6 linked regions of the Callithrix jacchus genome follow. The protein of the gene in region 6 interacts with the protein of the main gene of each other region in a pairwise test. Links are inferred from orthologs where the notes say so. Each region holds a gene or a part of one and is shown on either strand. Other genes may lie near its edges.

What was found.
Region 1: the proteins of PRKN (region 6) and GPR37 interact in a two-hybrid assay, tested with the Homo sapiens proteins (2 studies listed by BioGRID). The link is inferred for Callithrix jacchus from reciprocal best matches to the Homo sapiens genes PRKN and GPR37.
Region 2: the proteins of PRKN (region 6) and SYT11 interact in binary tests that used the Homo sapiens proteins (3 or more experiments, as listed by UniProt). The link is inferred for Callithrix jacchus from reciprocal best matches to the Homo sapiens genes PRKN and SYT11.
Region 3: the proteins of PRKN (region 6) and RAD1 interact in binary tests that used the Homo sapiens proteins (3 or more experiments, as listed by UniProt). The link is inferred for Callithrix jacchus from reciprocal best matches to the Homo sapiens genes PRKN and RAD1.
Region 4: the proteins of PRKN (region 6) and RGS2 interact in binary tests that used the Homo sapiens proteins (3 or more experiments, as listed by UniProt). The link is inferred for Callithrix jacchus from reciprocal best matches to the Homo sapiens genes PRKN and RGS2.
Region 5: the proteins of PRKN (region 6) and TOMM70 come close enough for resonance energy transfer, tested with the Homo sapiens proteins (3 studies listed by BioGRID). The link is inferred for Callithrix jacchus from reciprocal best matches to the Homo sapiens genes PRKN and TOMM70.

The regions. Positions count from the first base shown.
Region 1 is NC_133512.1:122,301,714-122,305,705, forward strand, and holds the start of GPR37 (prosaposin receptor GPR37), read left to right. Parts: upstream 1-1,192; 5' UTR 1,193-2,230; coding exon 2,231-3,250; intron 3,251-3,992.
Region 2 is NC_133519.1:16,246,295-16,249,794, reverse strand, and holds part of SYT11 (synaptotagmin-11), read right to left. Parts: intron 2,115-3,500; coding exon 1,991-2,114; intron 1,437-1,990; coding exon 1,126-1,436; 3' UTR 1-1,125. UniProt on the Homo sapiens protein: Synaptotagmin family member involved in vesicular and membrane trafficking which does not bind Ca(2+). Inhibits clathrin-mediated and bulk endocytosis, functions to ensure precision in vesicle retrieval.
Region 3 is NC_133503.1:170,715,773-170,718,154, forward strand, and holds part of RAD1 (cell cycle checkpoint protein RAD1), read left to right. Parts: intron 1-750; coding exon 751-1,009; intron 1,010-2,382. UniProt on the Homo sapiens protein: Component of the 9-1-1 cell-cycle checkpoint response complex that plays a major role in DNA repair. The 9-1-1 complex is recruited to DNA lesion upon damage by the RAD17-replication factor C (RFC) clamp loader complex.
Region 4 is NC_133519.1:49,997,682-50,001,971, forward strand, and holds the start of RGS2 (regulator of G-protein signaling 2), read left to right. Parts: upstream 1-1,490; 5' UTR 1,491-1,520; coding exon 1,521-1,630; intron 1,631-2,577; coding exon 2,578-2,679; intron 2,680-2,781; coding exon 2,782-2,843; intron 2,844-3,413; coding exon 3,414-3,580; intron 3,581-3,837; coding exon 3,838-4,032; 3' UTR 4,033-4,290. UniProt on the Homo sapiens protein: Regulates G protein-coupled receptor signaling cascades. Inhibits signal transduction by increasing the GTPase activity of G protein alpha subunits, thereby driving them into their inactive GDP-bound form.
Region 5 is NC_133516.1:91,552,525-91,556,024, forward strand, and holds part of TOMM70 (mitochondrial import receptor subunit TOM70), read right to left. Parts: intron 2,520-3,500; coding exon 2,346-2,519; intron 1,890-2,345; coding exon 1,763-1,889; intron 345-1,762; coding exon 235-344; intron 1-234. UniProt on the Homo sapiens protein: Acts as a receptor of the preprotein translocase complex of the outer mitochondrial membrane (TOM complex). Recognizes and mediates the translocation of mitochondrial preproteins from the cytosol into the mitochondria in a chaperone dependent manner.
Region 6 is NC_133505.1:168,973,867-168,977,366, forward strand, and holds part of PRKN (E3 ubiquitin-protein ligase parkin), read right to left. Parts: intron 2,091-3,500; coding exon 1,927-2,090; intron 1-1,926. UniProt on the Homo sapiens protein: Functions within a multiprotein E3 ubiquitin ligase complex, catalyzing the covalent attachment of ubiquitin moieties onto substrate proteins. Substrates include SYT11 and VDAC1.

The sequences.
Region 1 (3,992 bases), on a different chromosome or scaffold from region 6:
GTATTAGTTTACTATTGCTGCTGCAACAAATGACCACAAATTTAGTGGCTTAAAACAACACACATTTATTATCTTATAGTTATGGAAGTCAGAAGTCTCAAATGGGCTTGTAGATACTTTTTTATGCCCATTCTAGCTTCCAGAGATTGCCCACATTACTTGGCTTGTGTTTCTGTTTTTACTCCTACCCTCCTGCCTCTCATTTGTAAGGGCTCTTGTCATTATAATGTACCCACCTGGGTAATCATGATATGCTCCCCATTTCGGGAGCCTTAGCTGAATGTTATTGGCAAAATCCCTTTTGCCCTGTAAGGTAACACACTCACGGGTGTTAGGAATTAGGATTTGGACCTCTTTTGTGGGGGCCCATTATTCTATTTATCACAATTGGTATCGCATGTTCCATTGTATTTTCTCCTTTCTCTCTAAATGTGTTTCTTTAAAAAAAATTCAGGATGTGTTTATTTTTTCCTGTATCTTTTTCTCTTCATTAACTTGTCTGTTTTATTAGCTATACCCTGACAGTTTTGACAGGGTTGTGGAGTATAGCAGAAAGGTTGGGAAGACATGGACAGCCGTGCTGGGAGTGCTGTTCAAGCAATTTTCTGCCTCCAGTCATTTCCCACTACTTCATGAAAAACAACTACTTCCACTGTGCTGTGGATGCTACGAAGTAACCCATGGTAGGTGTTCAAGGCAATGGTGCATCCTGAGCATTCCCCCTCGGCATCCCAATCCTGGAACTAGTAATTCTCTATGACTGACACCTCTGAGCTCCCATTCTCTCCTATCTCACCCTGGGGAATACCTGAGAAGGTGAGGTTTCACCTTCTTGCTCCCCGCGCCACCCCCACCCCCACCCCCGCCCCCCGCCCAGCTGAAGCTTGGGCATGCGCATCACCCGCGACAGATTGGAGGGGACCCTGCTGCTCTCTCCCCTGCTACCCTCCTCCCTTCCCTTCCCCACCCCACTCGAATTCCCGTTTTCCCCCACTCCCCATTCCCGCCCCGCACCCGCACCCAGCCACGGCTCCGGGACCTGTCTGGCCGGTTTCGACATCTGGGGAATTAACCTGTCCCGCCCATCCCTAGCCTCAAAGCCGCGCAGGCTCCGCGCCTCCGCCCTTGTTCCCTCCCAGCTCCTCCGAGTGGAAGCCGCTACAAATGGCCTGAATGAAACGTGTGTGGGTTTAGTGAGTGGTGAACCACCAGGGGATCCCGTCTCCCCACAAACCAGTATCTCTCAGAGGAGGAGGTGAAGGACGGGGAGGAGACCAGGAGCCGAGCGTCGGGCTTCGGGGGCGCGCGCAGCGGCTGGAGCGCGGGGAGAGGCCGGGCCACCTCCCCTACCCGGCCGCGCACCGCCTGGCCCGCGGCGGTTCCAGGCACCACCCTCCCCGCCCGGGCAGCGCCGGCTGTGGCAGTGACGAGCTCCCGCGGCCGGCGGCACCGTCCACCGACGAGCGGCGCCCTCTTCTCCCACTTCTCCCCACGTTTCCCTTCTCTGCGGCGAAACGCTGTCCAGCAGCCCGCGTCGCCCCGTCGTCAACTTAGAGCTGGAGGCGAAGCAACTTTGGCAGTGGCGGCGGGGCTGGAATCCCCCTTCTCCTCGGCAGCAGTAGCCTCGCAAGTCGCTGGGGTTGGGTGGGGCGAGAGTTTCGCCGGCGCATCAGCGCTGCTTCTGACGGTTTGCAACCTGTTTCCAGCGAGCTGGGAGCGGGGTTGTGACTGCCGGTCGTCTGCGGGAGGGGGACTTGTTTTTCTTTTCCTCTAGAGACCTCGGCTTGCAACTGGATAAAGCAGTGTAGAAAGGATGTAACCAGGCAGAGCAACTGTTACCAAGAAGGCCACCACCCCACCCAAAGGCAGTGTGGAGCCTGTGGCTTCGTCCGGGCTCCCCGAGTCGCAACGTTAATCAACAGTCAGGTGTAGATTGCAACTTTCCAAGGTCAGCCGCCGGGAGTAGCCCATTCCTTCTACAGACCCTGGAGCGCACACTTCGCTGGGACTGAACTTGGCTGAGAAATGCACAAGATGCCGAACGAGGAAGGATTGTAGGGAGCGTGTGTGTGACCCCCAAGACCCATCCTCCGCGATCCCCGTAATCTCCGATCCCCGCTACCGGGCGGGGGTGAGTACGTGACATGTGCCTAACTCTCGGCAGCAACTTCGGCAGCAGGTGTCGATCCTAAGCAGGAGCCGCGGCTGCCGGGTGTGTCCTCGCCAAGCCATGCTAGCCTCGGGCGCGCTTCTCGCCCGCGTGTCGCGGCTGCTGCTTCTGCTACTGCTCAAGCTGTCTGCCTCTTCTGCCCTCGGGTTCGCCCCTGCGACCAGGAACGAAACTTGTCTGGGGGAGAGCTGTTCACCTACAGTGATCCAGCGCCGCAGCAGGGACGCCTGGGGACCGGGCAATTCTGCAGGAGACGTTCTGCGAGCCCGTGCACCCAGGGAGGAGCAGGAGGCGGCTGTGCTTGCGGCGCCCTCCTGGGACCTGCCGGCGGCCCCGGGTCGTGGCCCCGGTGTAGGCAGAGGGGCGGAGGCGTCTTCTGCCGGAGTCCCTGCACCTCCAACCAGGCTGCCTGGCTGGAGGTGGAAAGGTGCTCGGGGCCAGGAGCCTCCTGAAACTTTGGGGAGAGGGAACCCCACGGCCCTCCAGCTCCTCCTTCAGATCTCAGAGGAGGAAGAGAAGGGTACCAGAGGAGCTGGCATTTCCGGGCGCAGCCAGGAGCAGAGTGTGAAGACAGTGCCCGGAGCCAGCGATCTTTTTTACTGGCCACGAAGAGTCGGGAAACTCCAGGGTTCCCACCACAAGACCTCACCCAAGACGGCCAATGGACCAGCGGGGCACGAAGGGCGGATAATTGCACTCCCGGGCCGGGCGCTGGCCCAGAATGGGTCCTTGGGTGACGGAATCTATGAGCCTGGGGGTCCCCGCCGTGGAAACAGCACGAACCGGCGCGTGAGACTGAAGAACCCTTTCTACCCGCTGACCCAGGAATCCTACGGAGCCTACGCGGTCATGTGTCTGTCGGTGGTGATCTTCGGGACAGGCATCATTGGCAACCTGGCGGTGATGTGCATCGTGTGTCACAACTACTACATGCGGAGCATCTCTAACTCCCTCTTGGCCAACCTGGCTTTCTGGGACTTTCTCATCATCTTCTTCTGCCTTCCGCTGGTCATCTTCCACGAGCTGACCAAGAAGTGGCTGCTGGAGGACTTCTCCTGCAAGATCGTGCCCTATATAGAGGTAATGCCTTCCAGGGGGTCTCAAGCTATTGGCTTTATCTGTTTCCGGGATTATAGCAACAGAGAACTGCTGCTGGATGCACGGACCTAGCTGAATGTCTTTGCTTATCTGGAGCCCTCTTTCGTTTCTCTTTCCAGTCATTTATGCATATGTGCATATACAAAAAGAGGCAGCTTCGCTAAATCACCTTCTAATTCATCTGCACCTGGGCTGTAAAAGAATGATGATCTCACAATATATATAATTGTTTGGAGTATAAATCTATCTCCCTGAATATGGTGATAGGCATATTTCTGATTTGGCACTTGTTAGAGATTTTAGGGTTAAATAAATGGCCAGCCCACGGTTGTCATCATCAGAGCCTACAAAAAAAAAAAAAAAAAATCATTAGCCTTTATCTACTAGTTATCTAGTGCTTCAACGTGATTTTTCCTCCAAGATTACTGCATTTTTTCTTAAACACCAAGGTTGGAGTCACATTATTTTTACAAAGAAAGGAAGGAAATTATGTTTCTTTGTCAGTTGGCCTCATGATATATTATTAACCTATCAAATTAGCTTAAGTGTCTGGCTGTCTTCCATGCTGTCACATCTAAATTCTTATGTCATTTGTTTCTTTTTCCTTCTTGATTTCTTAATTGTGTGTGTGTGTGTGTGTGTGTGTGCCCGCGCGCGCACGCACGTGAACTTAAGCAAAAATAAGACTTTGGCCACCATGGCACGGAATTTGTTTAACATTCTC
Region 2 (3,500 bases), on a different chromosome or scaffold from region 6:
CTGAATTTGAAGTCTCCAAAGCTCCTTTTAGAGAAGTCGTCAAGTCTGATAAGAGTCCAAGATCTGACGTATCGGATGCATAAGCCTGATGCATTCTCTGTGTTTCAGTTAGGTCTGTTAGTTAATTATAGACTGCCCTTTACTACTTCATAGCAGAAGGGCTGATAGCAAAAATACCCCATTTCTCAATTCCTCTTTCTCCTGCAAACCTTGCCTCATTCACCCCACCTTTGTTTCTTGGCTTATTACAGACCTCTAGACCTTGAGCTCAGTCAAAGAGCAGAGATATAAGAGGTAAAAACAAAAGATGGCAATGATGAAAACATGAGGTTTTATAAGTGCAGAGGTGGGGAGTGGGAGAAATTCTCCAGAGAAGCCCAGTTAAAAAAAAAGCCAATTTCAGGTAATCAGCAAATACAATTCGGCACAAAACACAATTTTTATGGATTAAAATCTGCAACTTGATATTGGCAGTTAGGCTAATTTCTTCAGTTTGTATTAGACATGCAAGTATATGGTTACATTGTTATATAAAGATTTATAGGGGTCTTTCCCTCTCTTTTGTCCCCATCAAAAAAAAAAGAGGCCAGGTGCGGTGGCTCACACCTGTAATCCCAGTCCTCTGGGAGGCTGAGGCAGGTGGATCACCTGAGGTCTGGAGTTCAAGACTAGCCTGGCCAATATGATGAAAACCCATCTCTACTAAAAATACAAAAAATTAGCCAGGCGTGGTGTCGGGTGCCTGTAGTCCCAGCTACTTGGGAGGCTGAGGCAGGAGAATCACTTGAACCCAGGAGGTGGAGGTTTCAGTGAGCCAAGATTGTGCCATTGCACTGCAGCCTGGGCAACAAGAGCGAAACTCCATCTCAAAAGAAAGAAAGAAAGAAACAAACAAACAAAGAAATTCTGATGCCTTATGCCTTGCAGAGGAGAAAAAGCCATCATTGCTAAGAACTGATCTGCAGCTGTGGTCATGTAGGGTGTTCTTTGTGGAGTGTGTTTTGTAAGAAATTTTCCTCTACAACTAAAATGAGGTTTTGAGTCCACTTCTCTGTCATCTCTTTCCCCGCCACATCCCTCCCCAGCCTGGCCCCAGGGGGGCGGTTAGAGGAGAGAAGAACAGGATTAGTACTCGCTCAGACTGTGCCACTTGGCCACAGGCTTGCGGGGGCTCTCGCAGACCTCTCTCCAGTGTTCCGCACCACTGGCCGTGACACTGTGTGCCCCCAGGATCAGCCTCCCCACCACCTCGTTCTTAGTAGTGCGATCGAAGTCGATGACGAGGAACTCGATGCTGATATCAGGCAGGAGGTCAGTGGGGATGTCATAGATGAAAGATTCGTTGAAGACGGGGTTCAAAGTGCACTTCTTCACGTGGGTTTTCTTCTTGGCGATGCGCTTTCTGCCGTAGTAGACGTTCACCTTGACGTAAGGATCTGGGGCCCCCAAGGAGATAAGAAAAAGGGAGAGAGGCCTATGACACAGTCCTCCCTTAGGTAACGGTAATTTCATGTTGGAAAGGGGGAGCTCTGTTGTGCGTATCTTTGATGACCACCCCGTGTGTTCTTCAGGGATTGCACACTGATTGTATGTGAGTCTGCCTGCCTGGATGAGAGACCAAGGAAACCCAGCAAGATTAGAACAGACCAACTTTCTCAAGTCAGATCTGAAGAAATCCCATGGTACCAAGAGTATTTTAAAGGGCACAGCGATAAATGCCTGCAGCCTTTTTGAGAAGTTTCACTTAGCACCTGGCATGCATATTATTTAGTATACCTTGCCAAATGTAAAGACCCCATTTGTTCAACTGAAGAAACTTCCAAGCTAGGAAGTCTACTGGACATGGACATTCATCAGGAAGAGAATGTCAACAGAAAGAGAAGCAGATTAAAAGAGGTGAGGATCTTGAAGTGTGGAGGTCTATCTGGGCCACAGGCAACGAGTGGGGGGTGGTTCAGACAGTAAGAAATAGGTTGAAGTAAATAGCTGCTACCTGAGAGACCGGTGATATCCATCTTCGGCAAGTGCCTGGCTTTGAGGACCACCACTGTCATTCTCTGTGCCACAGGCTGATATGACAGAGACACCTGGAGCTCCCCCCTGCTGATGCACTTCTGTGAGGAAGAAATGGCAGGTGAGAATCCTGGCAGAGGGTGCAGAGAAGAGCACAAAAAGCATGCAGAGCAGTGGGAAGAGAGTCTGGGGGAGGACAAGTGCAGGGATGAGAAATCTGTTGGAAAGATGCTCATCCCCTGGAAAGGTGTTATTATTTTATTTAACAGAGAGGGAGAAAGGAAACATTATAACCATAATTCTGATATTAAACAATTTGCATGGAGAGCCAGAACAGCCTTGGATTTATGAGCATGACCTCTGGACCTAGTCTAACCTGGATTCAAATCCTATTTCTTTTTTCTTTTTTTTGAGAAAGGGTCTCACTCTGTTGCCCAGGCTGGAGTTCAGCGGCATGATCTTGGCTCACTGCAGCCTCCATCTCCTGGGCTCTAGCAATCCTCCCACCTCAGCCTCCCAAGTAGCTGCGACTACAGGTGTGTGCCACCACGCCTGGCTAATTTTTTTTTTTCTATAGAGAGAGTCTCACTATGTAACCCAGGCTGATTTTGAATTCCTGGTCTCAAGTGATTCTCCCACCTCAGCCTCCCAAAATGCTGGGATTACAGGCATGAACCACTGTGCCCAGTGCTATTTCTTATCTGTGACCTTGGACAAGTTATTCAACATCTCTGTACTTCAGTTTCCTCATTTATAAAATGAGAGTGAAAAGTAGTACCTACCACACAGCATTATTAGAATGATTAAATAAGTTAAAATCTGTAAACTGCAATGGTGCCCAGCACGTAGCGTGCACTACGGAAGTCCATTCTCTCATTTAGGTCTTATCCTTTAAAAAGTTCTGAAGACTGTACGGTGGGAGGTAGGAAAATGGGGTCTGAGTTTTAACCTTGACGCTTCCTCACCATGTGGCCTCAGGCAAGTCCCTGAACTTTCTGGAGCCTGTCCCTCCATTTCACAAGGTGAATATCCACACCTGCTTTGCCCACCCCAATGTACACTCCAGTGTATCATCTCCAGCCAAGTCAGCTTCCTCCCCAGCGCCCTGATCTTTGTTTCTCCATCTTTAAATGTGATGCTAGAATCCATTTAGAGCTTGGAAAAAACCTCTAGTCCTCCAAAAACACTTTGTTTGTTTTGAGACAGAGTCTTGCTCTTGTTGCCCAGGCTGGAGTGCAGGGTGCAATCTCGGCTCACTGCAACCTCCACCTCCCTGGTTCAAACACATCTCCTGCCTCAGCCTCCCAAGTAGCTGAGATTACAGGTGCCCACCATCACACCTGGATCATTTTTGTATTCTTGGTAGAGCTAGGGTTTCACCATGTTGGCCAGGCTGGTCTCAAACTCCCGACCTCAAGTGATTTGCCCGCCTCGGCCTCCCAGAGTGCTGGGATTGCAGGTGTGAGCCACTGCCCCTGGCTCCTCCA
Region 3 (2,382 bases), on a different chromosome or scaffold from region 6:
AATATAGTTCTCCAATATAGTTCTCCAGAAAAATGTATTTTAATTTTCTACTGACAATTCCACTGTTATTAACTAACTATACATTTTCTAATACCGTGTTCTCCAGCTGGTTTTTCATGAAAGAATCTGTCATCTTCCATTCCTCACTGTGGCTCTCCATGCAGTAAGGAGGAATTTGAATATCCTATCACATTCCTCCTTCCCCTAATGGTTTGCAGTGTTAGAATTTACACCACTATTAACAACCCTCTTTTTGTCTCAATTTAATTTTGAAATTTGAAAAAATATAAAGAATATCTGAGTTGGAAAAGTTGGAAGGATCCTTATAAGAGTGAATACACTGACATTACAGTACACATAGCAGTCCACTGTTACACACATTGAACCTTCAAGAAATAGCATACTGTGTTCTGCGGCAATTTGGTTACTTGCTGTGTTGATCCATGTAGATTCTCTATCCTGAAATTTATGTATATAAAATCAAGCTATTTCTGAGGTATTTATGACAACCTGAAAATGATACCAGAGAGTTACGTTACATTTTGTTCTGGTTCCCAATTTTCTTGTATGTTTGGAATTGTCTACATACAACTGTCATCAGGGAAGATATAATCCCTTTTTATGAGGAGATACGTATATGCGAGAAATTTGGTGGAATGAATTATTCTTGAGAAATTTTATATCATTTTGAGGAGAAGCTGAACCCAGAGCTATAAAGCTAAGGCCAAGTATGATTTCTTTCCATTGCAGGGACTTTAACTGCTCTTCGGATGTGTTACCAAGGTGATGGTTACCCTTTGATGCTGTTCCTAGAAGAAGGAGGGGTGGTAACAGTCTGCAAAATCAATACGCAGGAACCTGAGGAGACCCTGGACTTTGACTTCTGCAGCACCAATGTTATTAATAAAATTATTCTGCAGTCAGAGGGACTCCGTGAAGCATTTTCTGAATTGGATATGACGAGTGAAGTCTTACAGATTACGATGTCTCCTGACAAGCCTTATTTCAGGTACTTGAGAGCGGTGGAGTTATAGTTCATGTGGTCTGTACTCTGTCTTCCCTCTAGACATTTGCTTAGGATGCAGAATTTTTATTATCCACATTTTTAGAGCTTTCACAACTTTAAATAGCTTGTACTCTTACTCATAATTTTATGGATCAAGAAACTTAAGACCCAGAAAGATTAACTCACTATTTCATATTTAGATGGTGTTGGCATGTAGATGAGAAGCCCGGTCCCCTAATTTCTAAACTAGTAATGTTTTCATACTACTTACTGTCATGTATCAGGTTACATCATGAGGAAAATTGGGTTTAAGTGTTTGGAAAGGGTATTTGTATTATATGGTATCTTTTTCAAGTTAGTTCAGGATGCAGAACATGTTTTCTACATGTGGTTCATTCATTCACTAAGGTATCTGTTGATCACCTACCATGTGCTTATTCATCTTATTGACCATTGTAGGAATAACAACTTAAAATTAAGGTGAAGCCAAGATATGTGAAACAGCAAACCATTAAGTACGAAGATAGCACACAGAGATCCCTGGGAAACACTGAATAAAGATTTAGGGAGGATAGCTCGATGCTCACTTCCAAAGAGAGGGCAGTTTTCAGCAGGAAGACAATGTCAAAAAAGCTGCTCCTTATTCTTTCACACAAGTCTCTTTCCAGGATTAGTCTCAGTTTAGAAATTCTAGCAAGAGGATCTAAATATTCTCTTTTGAAAAATTTCAGAATATTAAATAAAGGCACTAAATACATATGGAATAAAAGGTATAAGGTATTCTTTTTGTAACTGCTTTAGAAAAATTACAGACCCAGCTGGGTGCAGTGGGTCACACCTGTAATCCCAGCACTTTGGGAGGCCGAGGTGGGTGGATCACTTGAGGTCAGGAGTTCAAGACCAGCCTGGCCAACATGGTGAGACCCTGTCTAATTAGCTGAGTGTGGTGGCAGGTGCCTGTAATTCCAGCTACTCAGGAGGCTGAAGTGGGGAGAATCACTTGAACCCAGGAGACGAAGGTTGCAGTGAGCCAAAATTGCACCACTGCACTCCAGCCTAAGTGACAGAGCAAGACTCTCAAAAAAAAAAAGAAAAAGAATTACAGGTCCTTCTCATGACTTTGGGCAGTTAAAAATTTGGATCACGGTCTGACAAAGTATTAACCAAAATGGAAATTGGAAACCCTACTTTAGCTGTGGAATGAAGTGAAAAATTCAGGTACTTAAACAATATTTCAGAGGATCTCCTTCTCAGTGATCTCTCAGCCTGGGTAACTAGGTGGATCATGGTATCTTTCATCTCCAAGTTAGGAAACAATTTGGTGGTAGGGAGGTTGGAGTTGAAATGTTTTTTCTGGATATGTTAAATTTTAAGTA
Region 4 (4,290 bases), on a different chromosome or scaffold from region 6:
TTGGAAATAGAGTCTCGCTCTGCTTCCCAGGCTGGAGTGCAGTGGCACGGTCTCAGCTCACTGCCACTTCCTCCTCCTAGGTTCAAGTGATTCTCCTGCCTCAGCCTCCCGAGTACCTGGGATTACAGGCAAGTGGCACCACGCCCGGCTAATTTTTGTATTTTTAGTAGAGACGAGGATTTCACCATGTTGGCCAGGATGGTCCCGACCTCTTGACCTCACGATTTGCCCGCCTGGCCTCCCAAAGTGCTGGGATCACAGGCGTGACTACACGCAGCCCCCAGTTTCGTTTTAAACAAGTCTATACAAATAGAATATCTACAGCTTGGTGGCAAAGCCGCTTAAACATGTCACTGGCTAGTTCTGGCAATATTATCCGAAATCAACTCATTTTTGTGGTCGAGGTTATCTGTCTTGTCTTTACCAATCGAGTCGCTGTAAACACTCCAGGACTAAAGATGACACCTGAAGAATCAAACTTACTCAGGGAAACTGTTAACTCCTTTTTTGCCAGTTATTAAAAGTTCTGGTGAATCCCAACTCAACCCAGAATGACTGGTGAGGAAATGTGAGTCCTTGACCTCGCTGGCCCTGGGGCGTTAGGCTGAGAACCGCGTCTCCAGCCTCCTCTCCCACCCTAGGAAGTCTGGGATTCTATTTCGCCTGCAGATGCGCCCGAGGGCTCCCGAGGACGGACCGGGCAGGCAGACCCAGCCCGTGCCCAGCACTGACAGCAAACGCAAACCCAACGCGCCGTCTTCTGAGACAGTCGTTTTCCCTCGTTCAATCCCCGACTGACGTTCATCCCCAAAGTGTTCGAGACGCCCCGAAAGCTGCAGAGGAGGCCGCACCGCCCGCCCCTGGGCAGCCCACGTTTCAGGACACCCCGTTCCTCAAATTAATGGCGGGGAGAAGCGGGCGAGCGTCTCCTCGCAGCCTCGGTTCACAGACCGGGGCGTGTCGAGCGAGTCCCTGCAGCAGGACGGCGCGCTCACAAAAACGAGAAAATCCCACTCTGCATTCAAAACCAGGCGAGCGCACTCCGGCCTCGCGGCGGGCGACCTGCTCCCGCCAGGGAAGCGCGAGGCCGGGGAGCCGGTCAGGGAGGCTGAGGGAGCGCCCCCCGCCGCGCCGCAGCCAACTTCCGCTCCCCTCCGCCGCAAAGCCCGCAGCCCGCCGGCCGCCACACCTCGGCAAAAGGTCGGGGGCAACCTCTCCACACTGGAAAGTCTCTGTTCGCTCCCACACCGGCCCCAGCCGGCCCTGCGGTGTGACCCGAGTGCGCAAGAAGCCGGGGCCGCACTCGTCAGCAGCTCCCTGGCTTCGAGACCCTTCGGCAGAGGCCGTGACTGCGGCCGGCGGGCGCTGACCCCATCCCCGCGCGCGTCTGCCGCCGGCCAATCCGCGTCCTCTTGAGGCGGGGCCGGAGCGGCGAGGCCCCGCCCCCAAGCCGCAGCCTCTTATTAAATACTGCGGCGCCCGCCGGCCTCACACAGCCGCGGAGCAGCGGGAGGACGAGGATGCAAAGTGCTATGTTCTTGGCTGTTCAACACGACTGCAGACCCATGGACAAGAGCCCAGGCAGCGGCCACAAGAGCGAGGAGAAGCGGGAAAAGATGAAGCGGACCCTGTGAGTATGGCTTTCTTCCCTCTCGCGCCACCCACCGCGAGCTGCAAACGCGGTGCTTTCCGGCTCGGCTTTGATCTTAGGAAGCTAGCCTGACCCTCTGCAGGGAAAAAAAAAAAAGTCGAAAAGCTCAATTTGTTAAGTAACGTTAAATCTGGGTGACGCTCGGGTAGTGTAGGAGCCGAGGGACGTAGTTGATAGGAGGGCGGTGGTGGATGCGCTAAGAAATTGTGGGTTGGCTGTTTGTCCTCCCGCATTGAAAATGACATCAGAATCCTGCGGCTGGTCCGCTTTACACAGCTGCTGGAAGGAGATGCTCTTGCCGGTTCTGAATATACTCGTTTAAAATCCATTTTTGTTTTTTAATTATAGAGCAGATCTCACCCAGTCACGAATGTGGAACAAATAATTGTGCAGCGTCTGCTTAAATGAAGGGTTGCAGGTGGGGAAGGGAGAGTGCAGGGGAATCAGTCGCCCACCCACCTCTTTGTACACACTCTGGCACGGTCAGGAACCTCCTGCTCTAAAGACAGAAGCATGGGCTGGCTCCAGACAGTTCCACGTCTGCCCTTTTCATTAACTGCGAAACGTCTCGGAATTGTAGTTAACCTTGCAAACAAACTGGTATCCTTTTGAAATAGTATCTGCCTTTTGAACTAAATTCATTAACAATTCTTTAAAATACTCCTAGTGATTCTAGGTAGCCCTGCCCTTAGCTGTAAAAGTAGTAGATACGATCAGATTAATGGATGAAACTGTTCAGTACATGAGTTTAAATGTTAAGTGGGTGGTAAGACTGTTATTTGAAGAGTTCTTGCTTTACCTTATGCGGTTTGTCTCTAGTTACTGGGTGCCTTTATTTGGTAAAAATGCGTTCAGCTGCAGAAGCATATTGAAGTGTTGGTACTTAGTGATTATGTTTTTTAAAAAATTTTTTTCTGTTGTTTTAGTTTAAAAGATTGGAAGACCCGTTTAAGCTACTTCTTGCAAAATTCCTCTACTCCTGGGAAGCCCAAAACCGGCAAAAAAAGCAAACAGCAAGCTTTCACCAAGTAAGTTGAGAATCCCGTAGTTGCAAGTATGAATAGTTAGTTGCTGAACTGAAAAGGGGAACTCTGATGTGCGTAAGCTAACATGCAAAACTTGTCTTTCAGGCCATCTCCTGAGGAAGCACAGCTGTGGTCAGAAGCATTTGATGAGCTGCTGGCCAGCAAATGTAAGTTAATTCTTGAACTTGAGCCATTGCTATTATCACAAAAGCCTGGAAAGGCTGTGTTCATGCTGCAAAAGAGCAGCTTGCCTGAGGGAATTAGATTGTGCAGTCACTATAGGATAAAGCCTATTTTTCTCTCCTTTATTTCCCAGGGTTTAAAATGGAAATAAATGCATGTATTCCCTCCAAGTGGGGAAGAAAAATAGCCAAAAAAAATTAAAGTGGCAGTTGCTTATAGTTAAGTTCAAGTCAGTTTTTCCATTGCATACAATGTTTTCAAGAGGCTTAGTTCCCAGAGAACTTATGGCTCCCCTATAAATATTTATTTTGCATTGACAGCAAAGTTAAGTACTTATATTTTTGCAGCAGAGTGCCAACATAAGCATTTTACCTACTGCATCTTAGTCATTAAAAAGCTAAATTTTGAGAATTGCAGGTTTGAGCAAAATCTAGAAAATTACTGTCATTTAGAAATAATTAAAATTTGAGGTAGAAGTACTAGGGGGAACATAAGGAATCATTCGGTCACTCAGTTCTTAACATTCTGCATGCTTTCTTTTCTCCCCTCTTCAGATGGTCTTGCTGCATTCAGGGCCTTTTTAAAGTCTGAATTCTGTGAAGAAAATATTGAATTCTGGCTGGCCTGTGAAGACTTCAAAAAAACCAAATCACCCCAAAAGTTGTCCTCAAAAGCAAGGAAAATATATACTGACTTTATAGAAAAGGAAGCTCCAAAAGAGGTAAGACAAAAAGTTCCTAATTTCAGCACAGTCAGGACATTTTTAGCACAAAAGTGAAACAAAAGAATCCAGGACAAAGTGGGGCTAGAAGGAGGGCAAAAGCCCTCCCACATTGTAGCTTTCAGTTATGTCAGAAGTTTCCCGTGACTTGCGAGTAAAGCTAATCACACATCATAATTATTTTTTTGTTTACAAATATTAGATTTTACTCTTTAACTCTGAATACCAAATAAACCATGTTTTTTGTTTTATTTCAGATAAACATAGATTTTCAAACCAAAACTCTGATTGCCCAGAATATACAAGACGCCACAAGTGGCTGCTTTACAACCGCCCAGAAGAGGGTATACAGCTTGATGGAGAACAACTCTTACCCCCGTTTCTTGGAGTCGGAATTCTACCAGGATTTGTGTAAAAAGCCACAAATTGCCACAGAGCCTCATGCTACATGAAATGTGAAAGAGAGCCTGAAAATGGAGGACATTTCATTCTTTTTCCTAAGGGGAAAGACTGACCTTGAATTCAGCCTGAGTGTTGGGGAAACATCACTCAGAACTATTGATTCAAAGTTGGGTAGTGAATCAGGAAGCCAGTAACTGTCTAGAAGAAGCTGGTATCAGAACAGCTTCCCTCACTGTGTGTAGAACACAAGAAGGGAATAGGGGGTCTGAACGTGATGCCTCACTCTGAAAGCGGGAATGTAAGATGAT
Region 5 (3,500 bases), on a different chromosome or scaffold from region 6:
AAGACCGTGCCACTGTACTCCATCCTGGGCAACAGAGCGAGACTCCGTCCCACAAAAAAAAAAAAAAAGAAAAAGAAAAAGGACAAGTCATAAAAACCAAAGATAATAGGAAGAAGAAATGTAACAGTTCTAATTTCAGTTGTTGCCATTACCACTATGCCTAAGCTTAAACAGCATAAAATAGAAAATACCCTACAGAGTACTCCCTGTATTCCCCAACTCAGATCAGTTTACCTTATATTTTTCTTTGGCTTTCTCTTTTCCAAGGAGTTTAAGAACTTTATCGGCTAACAGCATGCTTTGTTGATTTTGGAACCCTTCTAATATACACACAGCAGTGACATCTAGAATGATGAAAAACACACAAGTAAATATAAAATTATTGCAAAGACGGTCAGCAGCATCAAATGGGTACAATGTAACTACAGAAAGCCAAACTGAATTTCTGGCCTAATGGGACGGTTTCATTTCCAATTAATTGATTCTTAACACCTACTTTTATATTCTCTATGACCAAACTGAAAGCTCAGAAAGTCACTCCTCTTCTCTGGGGTCTGCTTTCCTTACCTGTGAAATTAAAGGGGCTATGCTGCATGATTTCTGATGTTCCTCACCACTCTAACATTCTATATATAGCAAAGAAAACAAGGAATCCAGGAATTCTCTTCTGGCTAACAACTCTAAGGCATATCAAAATAGTGTGGCTCTCTCATGCCTGGTGTTTTTATAGGCCTCAGAGTTATTCCTTGTCTCCAAAGCCATCTTCCCACAAAGCTCTCAAATCTGCCCCAATACCATTTTTATCTGGTTATGTCACAGCTCAAGATGCATGCAGTGGTTTGAAATTAAAAAGATAAACAGTTCCTTAACCTCTCAACCTTTCATTCAAAGCACTCAAACAATGACCATCCCTTCTAAAACATCCTCACATTGGTATTCCACACTTTTTAAATTTTTTTTAGAAAGGGGCTTTTTCCTTTTAAAATATAATGTAATTTTTAAAAATAAGAATAATAATAGCTAAATCTTACTGATGCTTTTAAAGTAGACTTAAATATGAAGTGGGAAGAACTTTTAGACTATAGAAAATTATACTTTGGTTTTGTTTCATATCACCTAGAAGAATGTATTTTAAAGGCCAGGGGTATACTCTAATTGCAGCTTTGGAAGCAAATATATGGGCATTCAGAGGCCACAGAATATTTATGGCATTTCCTGAGAATGTCAAAATCATTTTGATGCTTTGTACCAATCTACATCATTTCCAATTAGGTGTAAATTAGGTATAAAACAGTAATTTCCAATTGGGTATTAAATAATGTTTGAAAACACCAAGGGCCAAAAACGATGTTTCTTAATGATTTATCTCAAAGCTATTTCACATATTTATACATATTAAGTGAAATATGTAGAATCTTAGAAACACTATCACTTGCTAAAACATCTTTTCTGAATTCCTTATTCAGAGAATTATACTAACACTCATTAGTTGCTAAGTTTAAAATGTGTAGTATATAAACTCCAAATCTTAATACTCATTTAATTCCACAGTTGAGAACAAGACAATACTTAAATATCAGCAATCTTAATTTACACTAGAAGACAAAGTCTTAATTGCAAAAGAGTGCACCTTTGAAAAACAACTGATTCAAAAAAAAAAAAAAAAACTGATTCTTGTACTCAGAAGGCAGTTTCATATACATTTACCAATGACTACAAAATCTCAAGCAATTTTCATAGGTAAACACAAAATTACCCTCACCTTCTAAACATTCCTTCTTATTGTCTAGCTTCTCATGGGCTTTTGCACGTCTAAAGAGAGCTTTCACATATTTGGGATTAAGTTCAACAGCCTTTGTACAATCTTGTGCCACCTCTTTCCATTTTTGCTGTAATTGAAAGTATTTTTAAAAAGTCACACTAAAGGAAGCACTGTTCAATAGAAATCAGTTTAAATGTAGTAGGCTAAAAGTCCTAAAATTAAAAAAGTGTTCCTAATACAAAGAGTTAATATCTGCCATATATTACAAAACTCATATAAATATCAAAAAGTTAAAGAAATAGCCTCAAACTGTTGAGGAGACTAGGGTCACCAGAAACTTTAATTTTCTATACTATCTAATTTTATAAAATCTGAAATATACTTAACTTTGGCGTTTATCTGTAGTCAGCAAAACTACAGAATTTATTCTTAAGTTTTGCAATTAATGGAAATAAAAACAATATCCCATAATTTTGAAACAACTTCCAAAAACTATATTAGGTTTATTTGAGTAGCATTAACTGAAACTTCAAGCAAATAAAAAGATACAAATGCAACAGAAGAAACAACCTAGGGTACACACCAACTGTTCAAAGGCAGCAGCTCTGTTTTGATAAAATGTAGAAAGGTCAACATTCTTCTCTGTAGGGCACAAGCTAATAGCCTCAGTATAGCACTGAATAGCTTGTTCATATTTTCCAGCTTTAAAATACTTATTGCCTTTGTTCTTGGCTGCTTGGGCTCTATCAAGAGAGTTCTGAAATGAGAGAAAACAATTATCAAACACTAATCAACATTCAGACTCAGACCACAATAATTAAACAATAAACTGATAACAGCAGGACAGAATGGCTGTTTACAATGTAAGTTGCTTCATACCAATATCTTCATGAAATAGATTCCTACTAGTAGGATTGTTGAGTCAAAAAGCGTATCTTGGCCAGGTGTGGTGGCTCATGCCTATAATCCCAGCACTTTGGGAGGCTGAGGTGGGTGGATCACTTGAGGCCAGGAGTTTGAGACCAGGCTGGCCAACATGGTGGAACCCCCTCTCTACTAAAAATACAAAAAATAGCTGTGTATGGTGGCACATGCCTATAGTCCCAGCTACTTGGGTAGCTGAGGCATGAGAATTGCTTAACCCAGGGGCAGAGGCTGAGGTGAGCTGACATCACACCACTGCCCTCCAGCCTAGGTGAGAGAGTGAGACTCTGGTCTTACAAAAAAAAAAAAAAAAAAAAAAAGCACAAGATGTCTTGCTATATTGCCCAGGCTACTCACAAATTCCTGGGCTCAAGCAATCCCCCTACCTCCATGTTCCAGGCAGATGAGATTACAGGTACACACCACCATGCCAGGATAAAAGGTGTGTGTGTGTGTGTTTTAATTTAGACAGGGTCTCTCTCTCTCTGTCGCCCAAGTTGGAGTACAGTGGCACAATCTTGGCTCGCTGCTACCTCCACCTCCTGGGTTCAAGTGATTCTCCTGCCTCAGCCTCCCAAGTAGCTAGGGTTATCAACACACCTGGCTAACTTTATTATTTTTAGTAGAGATGGGGTTTTGCCATGTTGCCCAGGATGGAGGATTATATATTTTTAATTTCAAAAAACACTCAGACTTTTCCAAAAAGGCTGTAGCACTTTAAGGTTTTTAAAAGATTTATTGTGCAAAGGATTTCTAGGGAGATCTATTTAAGTTCAGAATATTACATAGCTACTTTAAGCTAGCTAGTGTCAAC
Region 6 (3,500 bases):
AAGCCTATATAAAGGTAAAACCTTCCTTTGTTAGATGAGCTGGGTTTTCGACAAATTACTGCCTGGTCTCCCGGCGGAATAAACTCCTCCCTCCTTTGTTCGGTGTTAGAGAGATCCGTTTCCTGTGGCCGCTCCTGCTACAATAATATTTTCAGGTGCAATATGACAGTTTTGTTTCACGTTCTTACATTATGGCTAATAGGTTGAACCACATGCAATTGTTGAACCTATAAAAATGGCAACCCCATATGGTCCAATCTAATCTTTCTTTTGGTTTTAGGGCTCATAAATAAAGACCCATCTCCATGAAAACAGGGGCTGAGTTTTGTCTCTCTTTTGGATCCCCTGAGAAGCCTAGAACATTGGAAGTGCTTAAGAAGTGTTTGTCAACATAAAGACCCTTAAATCAATACATATCTTATGCACATATGTTTGTAAAGTCAATCCTCTGGGGCAATTAGTCTAACTACATAGGAAATTGCTAATTGTTTTACCAATCAGCACTAAAGGGAGTGTTAGAACCTGAAAGTTCTAGAAACATAAAGTGTTTTGATTCAAGGAACTGTTTTAAAATTATTTATTTGTGAAGGAAACATCCTTGGATTTAGAGGTTGGCAGATATAGTGAAAAGCTTTTTCGTTGACTGAAATCGAAAAAACAAATCAAAACACTTTCTAGCACATGCACTTCCCTTATAAAACCAAACTGTCTGAAAGCAAAGCCCAGCAGTTTGTGCACAATGAGTGCGGGCCTCAGCACCATCAGCAGGAGATGCAATGGAGAATGACAGGGACAATTGCATTTCTATGGCTTCTTTGTATACCCCAATCCTGAGAGCATTTGACAAACCCACAAATATCATTGCCCAGAAGAAACAGGGATAGGAGGAGGCAGACCCAGGGACAGGCTTTGTGTGCCCAAGCCTGCCATGCACAGCAGCGGTCCCCACAAGGCTGTAAACCTGAGTGCAATTAATTGATGCTGGTTAAGAAAAGGGGGACATATGTCTGCTGGGTCCTTAACAGTCACAGAAACCATTCACAGAAAGTGTTTGGTCTTTCTCGCGTTCACAAAAAATAACGTCAACACATGGTGAGTTGTATTTGTGAGTTTCCCCAACAAATGACTGGTCTTCAGTTCTAGGTGATGGTGGTATTATCAATCACCTCACCAGTTCCCCCTAATTCCCACAAAAGTCACCAATCCGAATGAAAAGTGTGTAGACTTCTATGGGGCCAGGAGCAGTGGGCTGCCGGAAGCTCTGCTGGGGCCAGAGAGAAGAGAGCATCATTCACTCCACTACTTTGCAGGGGCCTATTTCCAGGGTCCGTTTCACTGAACCTTGGAGAAATTCAATGCAAAGGTGTACTTTTGTTGTGCTCCAGGCTGCCTTCCCCATGGTGAGATCTGGTCCTGGCCAAGGAGCGCTCAAAGCTAGTTGCCTTGGGGGCCCTGAGCCCACACCTCCTCTAGTGAGCGGAGGAGCAGCCCTCACTATCCTCCAGGGGTCACAATTGGGTTACAAATTCCTCATGGTGCAGGGACTGAGCAGCCTGACTGGGAACAATTTATTCGAACCCTTCTTCATTAAGATTCAAATGGAATAAGTAAGGTAGAAATTGAACAGACACAGAAATTGTGCCTTGCTGCTCCTGTAGTCAGTAAACATTTATTCACTAAGCCTAGCTCGTGTGTTCTTTCTCTCTCTCACACACACACAGTTGTTCTTCAAATCTTTCCTGCTTGCTGTTTTAATGCATAATTAAGAAGGTCAGAATTAATGAAGCAGTGTGGAGTATAGTTCAAGGAATCCCCAGGCACTGTTTATTCTATTAGATCTCAAGCACGAATGTCACATTGGCAGCGCAGGCGGCATGAGCAATGGGGCTGGCAGCGTCCCAGGAACGGCCGCCAAGGGAGACTCACCTGCACAGTCCAGTCATTCCTCAGCTCCTTCCCTGCGAAAATCACACGCAACTGGTCAGCTGGAACCCCCTGTCGCTTAGCAACCACCTCCTTGAGCTGGAAGATGCTGGTGTCAGAATCGACCTCCACTGGGAAACCATGGCTGGAGTTGAACCTGACAAACACTGACCAAGGAAATTGGAAGGGAGAAAAGAAAGTGAGCATCACTCAAAGAGCTTAAATGGCCACAGCAACATGTCCCAACCGACTCACCCCTTGCAGCCCTTCACTGAGTAGCATATATTTTCTCTCACTTACAACAAAAAACTTAATGCTACAGAGCAATATTTGGGAAAACCAGAGTTACCCATGAGATTTCCCTCTCATACATTAGTCAGTGACCTGCAAACCACAACTGCATTCTCCCTTTGACATCCATCCTGGGAAACAGAGACTTGAGCAGAACACTTGCTTGATTGGAATTGAAAGAGTCCCATGAGTTTATTGAAAAAACTTAGCTCTGACAGCTCCTACAAACTCACACTCCCTCCACAGTGACCCTCTTAATAAAAACAGGAGGCAGTGTGTTAGCACTCAAGGAACAGCTATGGAAACATTTCAAGCTGCTCTATAGACCAGAGTGAGGACCCGCTAGGGGCTATGGCTCAGAGCCCTAGTCTTGGAGGGTCCTGGCCAAAATGTTCCAGTGGGTCTATGAAGACAATTATTTGCCCCCTTTTTTTGGGAGGGGGCGGGGACACTAGTGACACCATGCCTTATTGAAACCACTGTTCCCGTGAGAGCCAGGCTGCATCCTCTAGTCTTTCTGCATGCTGTCTTCTCACCACAACTGCTCTCCACCTCTGGAGTCTCGCATCTGCCCTTTCCTTTCCATTCCTTCTCTCACTTCTCTAAGTCACACTCTCATCACATCTTTTCTAGAGTCTCATAGTAGCCCTCAACTGTAGGCTAAATCCACTCCACTTACCTCCATAGAGCCCTACATAATTCTGCAAAATGAGCGTCATTGATACAGAGTTATGTCACACCACTGAAACCCTTTAAGTCTCACGCTGTCAGCTGGTGAGAAAAGAATCCAAGATCCCTTTCATCTAGCACAAACCTATATTCCAGCATTTTCTTCATTACTCTCTAAGTATACTCTGTTAAACTAAATGCTCCCAGAAGAAAAATCACAGAAAGCTGCTGCAGCCAACTTCTCGCTTTTATTCATGACCTCCCTCCTCCTCCTCTTCCTGTTGAAATCCTGCCTACCCCCTGAATGCCTACTTCAAATGTGACCTCCTCCAAGAAGCCTCTGGCTATCAGCTCCTGCAAAAAACCTGATCTTGCCTATTCAGGGCACCAGTGGCATTTACTATGTACGTCTTATAATATTCACCAGATTCCTCGTGGAAGCAGGATAGCACAGGGGTTAAAAGTGCATCCTGCACTGATAGGAAGACCCATGCAAAAATCCCCGCAGGCTCCTTTAATTGGCTTACGAGGCTAGGGGTAAATCCATCAACCTTCCCTCTTTAGGTCTCAGTTCCCTTATCTTGAAAACATAAACCACAGCCCATTATTTGACTCAT